Canis lupus familiaris: one gene and its partners. The protein of the gene in region 1 interacts with the protein of each later gene in a biochemical or structural test. Links are inferred from orthologs where the notes say so. Each region holds a gene or a part of one and is shown on either strand. Other genes may lie near its edges.

Region 1 (4,054 bases):
TCCACAATGTGACCACACCACAGTTTATCTCTTTATTCTGCTGATGGACCTTTGGGTCGTTCCCAGAGTTTGCCTATTGTGAACAAAGCCACTATGAATATTAGCTATTGTGCATGTGACACACACCTAGGAGTGGTGGCTGGGTGATAGGCTTGGCATAGGTTTCACTTAAGAACTGCCATTTTCTGAATCTTTTATTTATTTATTTTTTAAGATTCTATTCATTTATTTGACAGAGAGAGAGCACAAGCAGGGGGAGCAGCAGAGTGAGAGAGAGAAGCAAGCTCTCTGATGAGGAGGGAGCCAGATGCGGGTTTGACCCTAGGACCCTGAGATCATGACCCCAGCCAAAGGCAGACCCTCAACTGACTGAGCCACCCAGACACCCCTGAATCTTTTAATATTTCTTAAAACCAGGAAAAATAAACCTCTACCTGGTGATTGTCTGAGTATTTAGTGGCTTCTAAGGTATAAGACTTTAAGCCTGTACCTGGAACACAGTGGGAGGCTCAGTAATTGCTGGCCTCAGCCCCAAACAGAGGAAGGGCCAGGCAGCTGGCAGGCGCTGTGGGGAGGTACCTGGTCCAGACCCTTGGGCAGAGAAGCCTTTCCCACACAGCACTCAAGACCCACAGCCAGCAGTCTGGGCAGCCCGAACTTGGCGCCCCTGCCCTGCTCTCACCTACCCAGCCTCCTCGCACTGTGATCCTGCTTCCTCAGGCCCAGCATTGGTGTCGCTTCCTGTGCACTTTGCGTATCACTCGATATTTATTGGGCACTAACTTTATGCCAGGCCCTGGGTGCCCCGGTACAAATGCCATAAAGACCCTCCCCCCTCAAATTACTCAGGAGGAGTGATTGCTTGGCGTAGGAAGCATGGGGACCCAGCCGAGCACTGACTCCGAGGTCGGTCAGCCACTTGAGTTCTAGCCAGATTCTGTATTTCCCCTGGAAGTTTGTTCTGGACAAACAAAATAATCTGATCCTCTGCGCCCCAGCAGGAGCCTAGGTCTGCCCGGAGCGCCTGTCCCGCGGGTCCAGGCCCTCGAACCACTGCCAAGCGCCCACCCCCGCGGCCCAGTGGCTCAGGCTGGCCGCCACGCCCCGCCCCCGCCGCCTGGCCAATGGCCTCGCGGTCCCGCCCCTCTCTGCCGCGCCCCCTCCTGCAGGGGAGGGTTCCGGGGTGTCTGCGGAGGTCCGCGGGTAGCCGGGTAGTGGCTACCGAGGTAAGTTAGCCGTCCCGGGCGCGGTCGGTCCCCTGGGCTCTGGGCGCGCCGATGGCTTTCGGAGCGGTGGTCAGCGGAGGCAAGAGCGGAGCGGGACGCGGAGCCCACCGGGGCGCACGGGGGTCCGGGGACGGGACTGGCTGCGCGGGGCTGGGTTAGAGCCGGTCCCGAGGCGCCGCGCTTCGCGGCAGCGCCGGGCGGGGCGGGGGGGCGTGGGTCGTGTGCTCGGGCGGGAGGGGAGGTTGGGGGAGCAGACAGGCGCTGGCTGCTGAGTGCCTCCAGCGCCCCGCAGGCCGGGGGTGACCCTGGGGCGAGGCCTAACCTCCCGGAGCTGCGGCCGCGCCTAGAGGCCGCCGTCCTCCCCCGGGCCTTGACAGTTCTCGGTGGTGACATCTGACCAGAACAGCCTCCCTCCCTCCCTCCGCGGGCCTGGTTCCTTCCAGGAATTGGAGCCAAATCAGTGAGGCCTCGCCTCTCTCCTCCGGGTGGTTATTTCTTTCCGGGACGCACTCAGCGCGTCCGGGGCATTCAAGGTAGGAACTTCTCGCAGCGTCAGTCCGCCCTTCTCTGAGACCGGAAGGAGCTGCTAGGAAAACATTGGGGGAAAAAAAAACACAACCAAAAAACGACGTTCTGTGCACGCTGTGGAGCCTTAAAAACTTCTGGAAGGACAGTCAGCGATCTGAGAACTGCGACTGCCGAACAGGGCAGGTTAGCATGCAGTCAGCCTTGTCTGAATGATTTACATACTATTCCTACAAGAGAAGGGACTACGTCTTTCAGCCTCCCTGGCACACCCCCATCTGAGGACTCCCCTCACCCAGGCAGTGGCCTTGGTCCCTCTGGGGCTGTGAGTCTCACTTGTTGCAGCAGCCCCTATGTTCTGTAAGGTGTATGGTGAACTGCAATGAGACAGCAAGTCCTGGGTTCAAATCCTGTTAGGGCCACTGGTCTGTTTGTACAACCCAGCATCATTTCTCCTCTCCTAAAGGAAAGAAAATTAGAATGTGCCTGCCTATAGTAGATCATGAATAAATATGAACAAATATGGGCTTCCTTCCTTTTTGGTTGGAGCATGTTCTACTTCCATACCCCCCAAACTCTTGTCCTTAGGGCTGCGGCTCAGATGCAGAAGAATGTATCACCTGACTCTATCCTTGTCCCTCCCCACATGCCATGGAAAGAAAGGAGAAAAGCGTCATTTAGCCACCTTAGAGTTCTTTGCTCATCTCCTGAACGCTCAGAGGACCCCTGCCCCATCTTCTTGAACCTCTTGACTTCTGTCATTGACACTTGCCACACCAATAATGTAGCACCTGGTGGCTGACAGAGCAAGGCATGCCACATGAGGCTATGAGGCCAGCAGACAGGACTACTGCCCCATTTCCCATATGGGTGACAGACTGGTGGCCCCAGCTCTGCTCTGCAACATTATCTTCTAGAGTCCCACCCAAGCCACACACCCACATTTTTGCTCCAGTCTGGCTCCTCTTCTGACCCCTTTCTTCCCAGAAAACCCACTTGGACATGTCATAGTGTCTCAGACTTGAGACACTATGATCACCTGATCAAAATGGAGCTTTGGAATCCTCTCTGCACCACAGCTTCTCCACCAGGTTCTCTGGCCTGCCTAAATGGCACCATCCATCTACCTAGTGCCTGAGGAGTTATCCTTGATTCTTCTCTCTCCCTCACTTCCCACATCCAGGACCCACTAGGAATCCAGCCACCTCTCACCATCTCCATGGGCAGCATTCTGGCCATACCCATCCTGTGGCCCCCTGCTTCAGCCTCCCAATTGTCTCCCTGCTTCCATCCTGGCCTCTGTACAATCCAGGTCCTCACAACTACCAGAGAGGTCTTTAACATAAGTCAGATCCTCTCCCTTCTCTGCTCAGAACCCCCAGTGGCTTCCCATTTCACTCCAAGAAACCCCCCAAAGCAAAAATAACAACCCCCAGAGTCCTTTCCTGCAACACTGCACATGAGCCACCACTTTTCAGAACCTCCTTGACCTTGATCCCTTCCCCTCCCCTTAGCTTTCTAAACCTGGACCACCCAGACCTGCTTTCTGTTCTTCAAACATGCCAAGGTCATTTCCACCTTAGGACTTTTAAATTGCTGTGCCCTCCGCCCAAAATGCTGATCTTGCAGCTCAGAATGGCTCAGCTCAAATGTCACCAATTCAGAAAGACTTACCTGACCACCTCTGTTCATGCAGCACGTCCTTCTCCAGGGATTCTGTCTCAAAACCCTGGTTTATTTTCTTCATAACTTGGTTACTATTTGGAATTCTTATTTATGTACGTGTTTACTGATTTGTTATCTGTCCCACCCCAATAGAATATAAATTGGATGATGGCAGAGATCTTGTCCCTCTTATTCCCTGCAGCTCTCCCTGAGGGGGAGGCAGGTAAGGAACTCACAGACAACCCCATCTATAATTGCAAATTGTGGTAAGTCCTACCTAAGCAAGTAGTAGCAATTGCTAGTAATTGAGGCACTTGTAAATGTCAGGCTTATGCAGTTGAGCTACTGTATTGTCAAAACAAGCCCTCTGAGTCATTTTAGGGGTAAAGAGAAGACTGTAGAAAGCCGGTAATTTGCCCTAGATCATACGGTGAGTGGAACTAGCCTCCTATCCTAAGAACATGTATGTGGCAAGCTTTAATGGTGGGCTTGCGGTCATGTTCTGGAAAGGACCTGACCTCTGATCTTTGCTCTTCTGCTAACTAGCAAGCCCCTTAATTTCTTGGTACCTCATTTTCTTGACCTTTAAAGTAGGATGATCCTATTATTATTTTGGGGCTTTTTTCTCTTTTTTCTAG
Region 2 (4,262 bases), on another chromosome or scaffold:
CCTGCTTCTCCCTCTGCCTGTATCTCTGCCTCTCTCTGTGTGCCTCTCATGAATAAATAAATAAAATCTTAAAAAAAAAAAAAAAAAAAAAAAAAGGTTCAAAGTTTTGGCCCTGCCGGTGTCCAGGTGATCTAGGAAAATCTCTTACCAGGCTCTGAAACATAGCATGGGCGGAGGGGCAAGGAGCAAGGCCGAGGGGACACAGGGGGGTCTGCTCCTCGCCCCAGGGGACAGGGAAGACATCTTCGAAGACGGCTCAGGAAATCTGTTGGCTCCTCCTGGGCAGGACTCCTGGGGAAGGGGACCTCAGAGAATGACTGCAGAGGCCCCTTGCAAGCAGTCCCTTCTTCCTCCCACTGAGGGCCTGTCACTGCAACCCCAGGGACAAGGATAAAGGGCCAGATATAAAAGAGGGGAACGCAGACAGAGACCAGGTACAAAAGTTAGAGAGGGCCCCACCCCAAATGCAGGCCCCAGCGGAAAGAAGGCAGCTCCTCTTACCTGGGTGGGGTAGGGCTGGGGAACCCAGCAGCCTCACCTCGCCTAAAGAAGGCAGCTAGGACTCTCAGCGTGTCCTCCCGGAGCCCCAGCTCTTCTGAGCCTGCCATGGGGGCACCTGTGAAAAAGGGAGCTGGGGGATGGGCTCCAGGGTTGAACTGAAGTGGAGGATTGGTGCCCAAATGCCTAGTCCCTGAATAAGGAGGGCGCCAGGACCCACGAATTCCCGAAGGAAGAAGGGGGTGAGAGTCTCAACTCCTAAATCCTTTAGGGGAGTTAGGGTCTGGGGACCCAGACTCTTGAGTTCTCAGAGGGAGAAGAGCGATGAGGCCGAAGACTCCTTGATCCTTGGAGAGGAAGAGGCTTAGGGACCCGGGTTCCTGGGGTCAAAAGACTGGGGGCTGGACTCTGAAGATTTTTTGGAGAAGGGGGCTGGAGGATCTGAATTGTTGAGTCTGAGAAAGAACGGAACTTGGGGCAACGACTTCTGGTTTCTGGAGGCATAACGCCAAGCCGCTCATGCTCTTAGAGAATCAGGAACTACGAATCCCAGCAGGCTTCATGGCAAACCTTCCCCTCGGTCCGCACTTGTGCGCCGCGCAGCCTCCTTGGGAAGTGTAGTTCCATTATCTGACCCACGCTGGAATCTTGGGGACCCGGGGTGCATAGATGTCCAGGAAGCGGGACTGAGGTGCCCGCTCCTAGACCCGTCCTTTTCCCTTCTCGCCCCAGCCTGCACAAAAGCCCAGCTTACCTGGGGCCGGGAAGCCGCCGACCCCCTCTCCTTCACCGAACTTGAGCAAACTTTTATTAGTGCAACTTTCCCGCGCCTGCGCACTGGGCCGGGTTGGTGTCAGCCCCGTAGTGGGAGGGGCGGAGCGCTGGATACCCATCTGATTTGCATGTGGCGTTCCCAGCATGCCTTTGGCCGGAAGACCTATAAAGGGCATAGCGGGGGGGGAGGGGAGAACCGGGGGCGTCCGGGTTCTTGGTGCCGCCTCTTTGGCTCTGGAGTCTTGTCAACCAATCGCAGATAAAGTTGTTTTTGTTTTATGAAATCGATAGAAAAGAAAACCCTCTTTCTCTGAAGCTCAGCTGACGGGAAGTAGGGTGTGCAGCTGCAAGTTCGAGAGTTATCGGACCCCAAAGGCAGGGGCGGGTTCTAGCACCCTGAGCGCCCCGACCCTCTACGTAGGTAACTGGGAAGATCTGGGGAATTGGTGGCGCCCGGGGCGAGAAACGCGAGACGTGCTGGGTCTGCCCTGAGTCTAGAGGAGCAAGGTGTACTCTAGGGAAGGTGAAGCAGAGTTCGAGTAAAAGTGAAGCTATGGCCGCTGCCGGAGGTCGGCTGTGAAATAAAAAGTAGTAGCGGGGGCGGGGGGGAGGCGTCTGCATGGGGGGATCTAAGGCAGAGAAGAGCAGACTCTGAAAATGGGAGGCAGTCCACTCTATAGAGTATGTGTGGGGGGGGGGTGCCCTAGAGGAAGGAAGCTGTTTGGGGGGAAGGATGGTGGATGGAGGGTCCACCGTGGAAATGGGTGAGGGGCTCTTCTGTAGGAGTCCGCAACACAGATAAGTGCGGGAGGTAGAGATCTACAAGGTAATAACGTCTGCCCTGAAATAACCAGGGGAGTCTCTACCTTGGACGCGGAGGTGACTGCCTTAGGTGATGTGGGGGAGGGGAGGGGAGGAGAGGGTTTACAACGGAAGAGGGAAGAATCTACCCTGGCTGAGTTGGGGAGGTAGAGGATCTGCTCAGGAGGAGGTGGGGAAAGACGGGCCGTCTCAAATGGATTGGGCGGGAAGTCCTCGTTGACTTGGGGGACTGTCTGGAGGTGAAAAGAGGAGTTGTCTTGTTTTATACCCCAGGAAAATATAAGTGAGGGACGCTGCACCGCCGCCCCATGAGAGGAAGGTCTGGGAGCGGAACCCTCGGGGGTGGGGGCGGGTAGCTAAGAGGCCATCCGCGCCCACGAACTGCCCTCTAAGCGCAGGCCGGACCATGGGAACCCCAAAACCGCGGATCCTGCCCTGGCTGGTGTCACAGCTGGACCTAGGGCAGCTGGAGGGGGTGGCCTGGCTGGACGAGCGCCGCACGCGCTTTCGCATCCCTTGGAAGCATGGCTTGCGGCAGGATGCCCAGCAGGAGGACTTCGGCATCTTCCAGGTGCGAGAGCTTCGTGCCGCCGGGGAGCCCTGAGCTAACCTACCCGAGGGGTGGACTCCCAGGGGGCGGAGCCGAGAGGGAGGGGTTAGCCTGCGTAGGGTCGGCCGGCGCTGACGGTGGCAGGTGGAGGTGAGTGGAGTTAGGACAGGACTGGGCAGGGTTAGGAGGATCAGCGGACGGATGTCGCAAGGCGGGCACGGCTGGAACGGCCAGGTTCCGGAAAAAGAACCGGAAAAGCGGGGTTAGAACTCGAGAGAAATGCAAACTGGGGATTGAGGGCTCGCAGAGGGCGGGGCTTTGGGTCGTAGAATTCTGAGGGCTGGTTTTGGAACCTTCGAGGCGAGACCTGGCCCCAAAGCTGAGGTGATTTCCCACCAAATTCGGATACACCAGTGGTGGTAACCCGAGTTCGAGTACGAGGGGGCGGGGCCATTACAACCTGTCCTGGGGCAGGTTGCTGGCAGAGTTAGACGCCCAGTAGGACCTGGAAGGTTGGCTTAGAAAGCAAAGTTTTTGAATAGGTGAAGCGGGGGGGTGGGGGGGGGTGGGGGTGGGAGGGTGCTTACGATGCAGAGTCCAAGAGTTTGGGGATGGATCCTTGTCAAGTTAGAACGTGCCAGGGGAGAGCGCCCTTGGGCCGGGGTCTTAGTCATCCTCACCATCCTGGTACCAACTGGATCCCCAGGCGTGGGCCGAGGTCAGCGGTGCCTACACTCCTGGAAAGGATAAACCTGATCTGCCCACCTGGAAGAGGAATTTCCGATCTGCCCTGAACCGGAAGGAGGAGTTGCGTGTAGCTGAAGATCGGAGCAAAGACCCCCACGACCCACACAAGGTCTATGAGTTTGTGATCTCAGGTGTGCCAGAAGTGGGGCTCCATGTGGAGGGATGGGATTTTGAGCATCCCCAACACTCTGCTCCACTCACCACCTTCCCTGGCAGGAGCTGGGAACTTGCCTGAGTTGGACACCTTTCCAGACACCAATGGCAGATACAGTACCTCGGATACCCAGGCAAGAATGCACCCCATCCTTCCTGCCCTCAGGATGACCCATCTTCTGTGTCCCCACAGCCTTGTTCAGGCTTCCTCTCCTCCCCCTGGACCATCACATCAAATCTTCCTCCTGAGCCTCCATCCTATCCCCTGTGGGCTGTCCACCCACTCATCTAGAGATGACCCTGTCCCTCTCCTGCTCATAGCGAGCCCTTCCATGGATGCTTCCAGTGTCTCAGGAAAAAAATGCAGAGCTTTCACCAAGGCATTTAGGGCCCTAATACACCTTTCTAGAATTTCACAGTTTCTCTTGCTATGTAGAGTACCCTCAGCCTCCTGGGAACCCAGAACCACCCTATCCTTGGTCTTGCTGACGTCCATGCCAGGGCAGGTCCCCTCTGAAATAGTGTCCAGCCTTCTCTGCCCAGGTCTTGCTTGCCCAGGGCCAGGTCCTTGGGCTGGAACTAGCTGTTCCCCTTGGGCCAATAGTAGCATCCATCATATACCAGAGCATATATTTTGTCATCTGTGCCCATGCTTGTCTACCTACCTCCTATCCCCCACCTCCCTGCCAGCCCCAACTGGAAGCCCCCGCCCCCTTTT
Region 3 (4,020 bases), on another chromosome or scaffold:
GCTAGAATTTACACGCCCTGAGGTCGAGGATGTAAGGAACACTGGTATGGGAGGACTGTTACCTAGTTCTGCTCCTTGGGCCACAGTGAGGTCACTGACTGTAGAGAAGGCCCAAGCTCGGGCCTGCCCAAGTCCCGGGGGTCCTACCCAGGAGGAAGACCCCACTTCTGCGGGACACACTACAGGACGGAAGGGGCGGGCCTAACCCCATTCCGCCGCGGGTCGCTCAGGAGGGCGGGCCTTGCCCCCTCGGCACCTACTCACGAAGGGGTGGAGCTAGTTCGCTTTTCAGGTTTAAAACGGGGCCGGGGTCAACTCTGTCATCCTGTGTCAACGTTAGAAAGGTGTGGGCCTTGAGATCTGTTCTGCAAGTCACCTAAGGAGGAGCGGGCTGCGTCCCGCAGCCGAGGGAGATGGGTTAACACCAGCGCCGCAGGTCGATGCTCGCACCACCCACACGTCGAGCTGATGCCAGTTCTGCTCCCTTCTTCACTGAAAGGGAGGGGCGAGCCCCAGTTCTGCCCTCTACGTCACCGAAGGAGGCCGGAGCCATTTTGAGCCCTGCGACCATAGCATTTGCTACCTCGCCGAGCTCTCGGCCGTCTTTTCCGATCTCGGCCAATCAGGGCTGCAAGAAACTAGCCAATCAGCCCGGAGAGACCGCAGTCGGAGGGCCCGGATGAGGCGGCGCTGATGCCTTTGAACCCCAAAGCCCGCCAATCGTAGAGCAGTCACCACGGCGACAAGAGCGCGGCGAGGGGGTGGGGCCAGAGAAAGCCGAGCACTCTCGGCCTGGCCCGCCCCTTCCCGCCGCCTGCTGCGCGCGCGCACTTTGCCGAACCACCATCTTCCGTCGAGTTCCAGCCAATCCAGAGCTTCGGAGCTCTACGCTCCAAAGTCCAATAGGAATCCGGACGTTCTCGGAAAGGGGAAGTGAAGCAAAGAAAGGGCTCGGAGGAGGCGGGGCCTGTGTGGTCCCGGACCAATTGCTTCTGGCCCTTGGCCCTGACTGGCAGCTACTCAGACGAATCAAGCTCCCCGACCAGGTCCAACGGACACCAATTCTGTCGCATGGCGTCCTGACGGAGACGCGCCCGCCAATCGTCGCTGGCAAGGGCAGGCCTGCGCAGACCTCTCCCTACCCTTTGGGCCAATCCTGGCTTTTAAACTGTGTGATTGTCAGCCACCCAGACCAGTAGTGTTTAGACAACCTCGAAGCCCGCCCAACGGTCGTGGGCTGGAGGCGGTTTCTCGCTGTTGGGGCGTGTGTGTGTCTGTGTGTGTGTTTGGGGAGACCGAGGGGTACGTGAAGGCGAAACACCGGCCATGGCAGCCGCGGAGGAGGAGGACGGGGGCCCCGAAGGGCCAAACCGCGAGCGGGGCGGGGCGGGCGCGACCTTCGAATGTAATATATGCTTGGAGACTGCTCGGGAGGCTGTGGTCAGCGTGTGTGGCCACCTGTACTGGTGAGGGTCCGGCCGGGGCTGAAGAGAAATGGGGCTCGCCCCTTACTGGGGAGGCTGGGGGCGGGATGGCACGCATACGGATAGTCGGCGGGCACATCCCCGTGGGCGAGGCCCGAGGTCTCTGGGAATGTGTGGGTGAGAGGGTCACATCTCCACGGAGGAGAGCCGTGTGGCGGAGAGCCCTAGGAACTGGGCGCTGAGGGGTGTGCTGTGGTTAAGAGGCAGCAGGGCGGGGTGGTGGTGGGGGAACTACATCTGTCCAGGTGAGACCCCAGCCGCCTTACCCCGGAAAGTGACGGTCTTAGTTGTACAGGTGGAGATAGATTAGACTCCAAGGTTAGAGGAGGCACGCCTTAGTCGGGTACGGGAGACCGAGGGAATGTAGGATCGCATGCAGATGAGATCTTGGTAGGGAGTGGTATGACAGACCTGAGGACCAGGGCACTGAGAAATGAAAGGATGGTGGAAATAGGGACTTGATGGAGCCTAGAAGAGAGGAAAAGGAGTAGTGGGGGCAGGTGCTAGTAAAGGGGGTTTGGTTGAGGAGTGATGCGGGCAGGGCTGGGGTTGGGGCTGAAACAGGAGATCTAGAAAGCTCTGGTTGAAGAGACCTGGACACTAAGTTCAGAGGCAGAAAAGGGAGGGGACATGTGTGTTCAAGGAGAGAAGAGCGTTGAACCTCGGAGGATGAATATTACTTTAGACGTTGTAAGATCAGAGAGGTGGGAAGGCCAAATTGGCTGGCATGGAATAGGTTGTCAAAAACATGAAAAGAAACAGCAGGTAATACCTGGGAAGAGGGGTGCGATCGGACTCTGAGGTCAGGTTCGTGTCTGTCTTTACTGTAGCTAGTTTGACCTTCTTTTTTTCCCCCCATCTAGTTGGCCCTGTCTTCATCAGGTGCGTACTCAGAGGAGATGAAGAGGGAAATGGGGAGGTCTGAGGAGTTGAAAAACCCTACTGTGAACTGGAAACCACTTCATTTTCTCCCTCAGTGGTTGGAGACCCGGCCAGAGCGGCAAGAGTGCCCAGTGTGTAAAGCTGGGATCAGCAGAGAAAAGGTTGTCCCTCTTTATGGGCGAGGGAGCCAGAAGCCCCAGGATCCCAGGTGAGAGAGAGGGGGTGGTGCTGAGGGAAGATGGACTGCTTCTGGCCTGGGAGTGGGGCGTGGAGGGGGAGAGGACATTCCTTGCTGCTAGCCCTAGCCAGTCTCTCATTCCTCAGATTGAAAACTCCACCCCGCCCCCAGGGCCAGCGACCAGCTTCAGAGAGCAGAGGGGTGAGTCTTGTCTGATTTGTGTTCCTTCCTTGCCAAAGACCTGCCCAGTTCTCCTCTGACTTTCTCCACCTCCCTAGGGATTCCAGTCATTTGGTGATACCGGGGGCTTTCACTTCTCATTTGGTGTTGGTGCTTTTCCCTTTGGCTTTTTCACCACCGTCTTCAACACCCATGAGCCATTCCGTCGGGGTACAGGTAAGAAGAGCCTTCCCTCAGCTCCAAGCAGGGAGCCCTCTGAGTCCCCTCAGGCCTTTTCCCAACCTAGGAGTGGATGCTTCTCCCACAGCTTTCCTTTCTCCTACAGGTGTGGATCTGGGACAGGGTCACCCGGCCTCCAGCTGGCAGGACTCCCTCTTCCTGTTTCTCGCCATCTTCTTCTTTTTCTGGCTGCTCAGTATTTGAGCTTTGTCTCCTTCCTGCCCACCTCCAGCCAGAGGAGAATCAGTATTGGGGGTCCTTGCTGACCCTTCCTTACTCCTGGCCCCTCCCTCCCAACCCCTCCGTTTCTACTGGCTAAGGCCAACCCTGGCCACTTTGTAGGAGGGTGTGGGGAGGAGGTGTGACATCTGTGCAGAGGATGGGAGAAACTTCTGCCCTGAACTCGCTGCGTAGCATCCTAACTCCCAGCTCTGGGACAGGAGGACAGACGGAAGAGGATGTCTGTTTCTTCCCTCTCCTGATCTTTTGCTTTCCCCCACATTTGTTGATTTGATGTTGAAAGATGGGCAAGGCTCCCACTGACTCTCCCCTACTTTACCCCTGTTGACTTAATTTTTCTCTCCCCAGTGTCTAATATGGGTTCTGATTCTTAAGTCCTTCCTTCCCTTCACTACCTCCTTTATTATAAATTCAATAAACAAGGTGAGATGTACTGATGGGAGCTCTGCCCACCTTTGTCCTTACCCCCTTCCTTCCAGGACAGGAGCATCTCCCCAACTTGAGTAAATATTTGCACGGTGTGGGGAAGTGTGAAGGCTTTCTTCAAGGCTCTGAGGGATTCAGAGGGTGAGGGCGTCTCTCTCTCTCTCTCTCTCTCACAAACACACACACACAAACACACACAGAGGCATCTTTCTCACACACACACACACAGGCGTCTCTCACACACACACGTGTCTCACACACAGTCATCTCATACACGTGTCTCACACAGGTGTCACACACAGGCATCTCTTTCTCAAACACAGGTGTCTCTCACACACAGGTCTCACACACAGTCATCTCTTACACACAGGTGTCTCTCACAGTCATCTCTCACAGGTGTGTCACACAGGC
Region 4 (3,614 bases), about 6.2 Mb from region 1:
AGTAGGCCTGGCTGGGCACAGGGCTGCATGGACTTCAGGGGGTCAAAGGGCCAGAGGCTGGGCCCAGCCCTCTAGCCAGAGTTCCCAGCAGAGGAGTCCTCAGGCAAATGAGGTTCGAGTCCAGGGTTACAAATCTCTGGCACCAGAGGGGAGCCATGGCTGGCAGCAAGGCCTGTGGGGAATAGCCAGGAGCAACTCCACTTGGACCCCCACTTTTTGGCTCTGCATACCAGGGAACCCCCTCCATGCTGGAAAGGGGAAGAAGCAGGTGAGCAGGATTTGTTAGGTTGTGGCTACTTAATAAATCTTTTTTGTTATGAAATCTATCCTGGGCCCACACTGAACTCCTGGAAAGGGTGGGCTTGGCCCCTTATATCACCACGGTATACCACACACTGGTGCGAGTTTCCAGAATGAGCCCCAAGTCCACAGCACACAAAGCTGTTCCTAGTGAGCTGAAACTAGTATGAGACAGTGCCACCCGAAGCCCTACCCATTCCCCAAGCAGCTGGAAGCAAAGGGCCAGGCAGGCCTGAGCAATCTTTATTCTGCAGAGGAACAATGACCACAGATCCATACACCATGTCAAGATCAGGTGAGCCAAGGGCCAGTCCTTCAGGGGTGGGCAGGTCCAGGCAGGGGGGCAGCGCCTCAGGTGAGGGAGGGGCAGATGGGCAGGGGCCTAAAAAAAAGATAAATCACACGAGCAAGAGTGCTGGGGGCTGTTCCCCACCCTCCCCCATCCCAGCCAGCACCCAGGAGGGCATCCCTAACAATGACTGGCCCAGGATCCACCCAGGGGCAGAGTAGGTGCAGTTGGTGCCCCCTGGCTAGGGGGCCAGCATCCCTGCCCAGCCCAGCCCGGGCAGAGCAGTTCAGTTCAGGAGCCAGGAGTTCCCTGGGCAGAGCCTGACAGGGCACCCCCCCACTCCCAGGCCAACCACCCCCCCTACTGCTGGCTCAGAAGCCGAAGGTTTCCTGGGAGGCGTAGACCATGTAGAGGAAGCCATCATCATCCTTCTCCTGCTCATAGATGTCCGCGATGGGTGTGGACACGCTCACCATGCTGTGCTGGTTCACCAGCAGGAAGAAGGCCTGCGTGGGGTTCAGCTGCAGGCGGCGCCTGGGGTGGGCAGAAGAGCAAGCCAGTATGAGGGGACCTGGCTCCTGGGTGGGTGGAGCCCTACACCCCCCTTCCCCCCAAAGGATTGAGGTGGCTTCACACCCATCCCAGCCCCTTCTAGGAGCCCTCACCTCTGACCTGACACTGATCCCAGCCCTGACCTTGACTATCCCAACCTCTCCAGAACAGAGATTTAAGGCCAGGCCCGGCCTGCTGGGGCCTCGCCCTCCCCCAGAAGGACCCAAGCCCCTTCTGACTGCTGCTGCCCACACACCGGATAATCTTGACCAACTCGCTCATGTTGACATGGTCTGGGACCAGGAACTTGGTCTTGTCCAGGACAGGCAGCTGTTTCTCACCCTTGTAGCGCTCGATGATCACCTAGGGGTGGGGCGGGGGATGCGTGAGCCCGGCGGGGCCTGGGGCCGCGGGGATGGGGGGTGGCGGGACTCACCGGGATCTTGCTGGGGTGCTGGTCGCGGATCTGCTGCACCTCCTTACAGCGGTCGGCTGCGGACAGAGGGCGGGCAGTAAGGCCGCGGTCCCGCTCGCCCTTCGCCCCGCCTGTCCCCGGCCCCGCCCCCCAACCCCCGCCCCCAGGGCCATCAGGCCCTAGGGCCTGGCACCCGCCGGCTGGGAGGCGAGGTCCCGGCCCAGGCCTGAACCTGCCTCACGGCCCAGGGGTCCAGCCCGAGTCTGACGTCACGGGGCTGACGTCGCCTGCGGCAGTGAGGGTCAGTCTCGCGGGGCCCCCTCCCCGCGCCCGCTGGCCGCCCGCCGGGCCTCACCGAAGGTCCGCCGCTGCTTGAAAGGCCGGTCCGAGGGCATCGCGCGGGCCCGGCGGGGCGCGCAGGCCGGGGCTCCGGGGCGCGCGGCTGGGGGCTTTGGCGGAGGTTCGGGGGCTCCGCGCCTCGCGCTCAAGGGCTCCGGGGCTCGAGCTGAGCCTGGCGGCGGTGGCTCGGGGAGGTAACTCGCCCGGGTGACGTCAGGTCACAACATTCCTTAAAGGGGAGGCCGGCGCGCCACTCCCATTGGGCCGACGCAAAACCCTCCCGCCCGGACCCGTGACGTCACGGGACAGAGCTGGATTCCCGGTCTGGGCCGCGAAGGGGCGGGGCTTCCTGGGCACGTCACAGTCCGGTGATGTCATGGGCTGCCGCCCCCTCTCCCCGAAGCCGGGGTTGAGCCACCTCTCGGCTCCCGCAGCCCGAGAGCCCGAGAGCGAGCGGGAGCCAGAGCCAGTCCCCAGATCGGCATCTTTCCGTTCCCACTGGTGCCAAGTCATCCCATAGGACACTCGGAGTCTGTTCTGTTCCAGCAACGGTGCGAGGCACCGGGGGTGACAACAGTGAACCCAAAGACCTTCTCGCCTTCGTGGAGCTCATGATTAGAGAAAAAAAAGCTAGGGTGAGGGGATTAAAACATGAAAGAGCAAGACACTAAAAAGGAACACAGGTTTTAGAAGGAATTTCTAGAATTAGAAAAACTATTGAAATTCAGGTCTCAAAGGATGAGACAAAAAAGTAGATTAGATATAGAAGATAAGCCACTGAACTGGAAAATAGATCAGAAGCAACTCACCAGAGAAACTAGGTGATGGGCAATGTAAAAGAGGAAGTGAGTCTTCTCACTTCAGTCCTATCACAGGCCCAATCAGAATTCCAGAAGGAGAGAAAAAAAATGGGAGAGGCAGTACCTGAAGAAGAGCTTACAAACTTCATTAAAGACCAGGATTCTCACATAAAATCCAAAGCGGGATAAATAAAAGTAGCATTTTGGCACTTTGTAATGAATTTGCAGAACTCCAAAGAGAAGATAGAAAAATGGTGAGCAACTCAACTGGCAAACATGTGAGTAGATCTAAAACACAGTGGAACATGAACAGTGACGGTTAATCTGTGGAGTACAAAACAAGAAAGGACACAACTGGTAAGACTGGAGAGGGCAATCAGTTCAAGTGTTCTAAGATGCCTGATTTGAGGGGAGAAAGATAAAGATACTGATAATTGCCCAGCTTTGTAAACCAAAGTGTGTATTTCAGACACTTATGAGGGATCACTAAAGAATGGAAAGTGTAATGGCCAAAGCAGGAAAGGAGAAAAAAAGTAGTTAAAAGAATGGTAAATGATACAAAATCAGAGGTAAAAAAGATTTTACATTCACCTATTAAAACAGATGATCAAAAAAATTTAAAAAAATAAAACAGATGATCAGGGCATGTGGGTAACTCAGTGGTTGAGTGTCTGCCTTCTGCTCAGGTCCGGATCCTGGGGTCCTGGGATCGAGTCCTGCATCGGGCTTCCCACAGGGAGCCTGCTTCTCCCTCTGCCTATGTCTCTGCCTCTCTCTGTGTCTCTCATGAATAAGTAAATAAAATCTTTAAAAAATAAAAATAAAAAAGAAATATACAAAGTGAGTAGCTATATACCTAAAAAAATTAATCCAGATGGTTTTCTAAGTGAACTCCTCCTACTCCTCCCAAAAAAACCTG

Evidence for each region.
Region 2: the proteins of MAVS (region 1) and IRF3 form a complex in vitro, tested with the Homo sapiens proteins (2 studies listed by BioGRID). The link is inferred for Canis lupus familiaris from reciprocal best matches to the Homo sapiens genes MAVS and IRF3.
Region 3: the proteins of MAVS (region 1) and RNF5 form a complex in vitro, tested with the Homo sapiens proteins (2 studies listed by BioGRID, with this or other methods). The link is inferred for Canis lupus familiaris from reciprocal best matches to the Homo sapiens genes MAVS and RNF5.
Region 4: the proteins of MAVS (region 1) and MAP1LC3A form a complex in vitro, tested with the Homo sapiens proteins (2 studies listed by BioGRID and IntAct, with this or other methods). The link is inferred for Canis lupus familiaris from reciprocal best matches to the Homo sapiens genes MAVS and MAP1LC3A.

The regions. Positions count from the first base shown.
Region 1 is NC_049245.1:17,973,550-17,977,603, reverse strand, and holds the start of MAVS (mitochondrial antiviral-signaling protein), read left to right. Parts: upstream 1-1,207; 5' UTR 1,208-1,226; intron 1,227-4,054.
Region 2 is NC_049222.1:107,548,667-107,552,928, forward strand, and holds the start of IRF3 (interferon regulatory factor 3), read left to right. Parts: upstream 1-1,456; 5' UTR 1,457-1,693; intron 1,694-2,487; 5' UTR 2,488-2,500; coding exon 2,501-2,665; intron 2,666-3,350; coding exon 3,351-3,522; intron 3,523-3,607; coding exon 3,608-3,678; intron 3,679-4,262. Other genes in the region: BCL2L12 (bcl-2-like protein 12), read right to left, coding at 149-291, 502-616, 1,253-1,391.
Region 3 is NC_049233.1:1,703,294-1,707,313, forward strand, and holds RNF5 (E3 ubiquitin-protein ligase RNF5), read left to right. Parts: upstream 1-1,161; 5' UTR 1,162-1,326; coding exon 1,327-1,466; intron 1,467-2,347; coding exon 2,348-2,366; intron 2,367-2,461; coding exon 2,462-2,574; intron 2,575-2,690; coding exon 2,691-2,745; intron 2,746-2,822; coding exon 2,823-2,940; intron 2,941-3,049; coding exon 3,050-3,147; 3' UTR 3,148-3,616; downstream 3,617-4,020. UniProt on the Homo sapiens protein: Membrane-bound E3 ubiquitin-protein ligase that mediates ubiquitination of target proteins. May function together with E2 ubiquitin-conjugating enzymes UBE2D1/UBCH5A and UBE2D2/UBC4.
Region 4 is NC_049245.1:24,182,721-24,186,334, reverse strand, and holds MAP1LC3A (microtubule-associated proteins 1A/1B light chain 3A), read right to left. Parts: upstream 2,107-3,614; 5' UTR 1,952-2,106; coding exon 1,912-1,951; intron 1,634-1,911; coding exon 1,578-1,633; intron 1,505-1,577; coding exon 1,398-1,504; intron 1,124-1,397; coding exon 961-1,123; 3' UTR 522-960; downstream 1-521. Other genes in the region: PIGU (phosphatidylinositol glycan anchor biosynthesis class U protein), read left to right, coding at 1-5. UniProt on the Homo sapiens protein: Ubiquitin-like modifier involved in formation of autophagosomal vacuoles (autophagosomes). While LC3s are involved in elongation of the phagophore membrane, the GABARAP/GATE-16 subfamily is essential for a later stage in autophagosome maturation.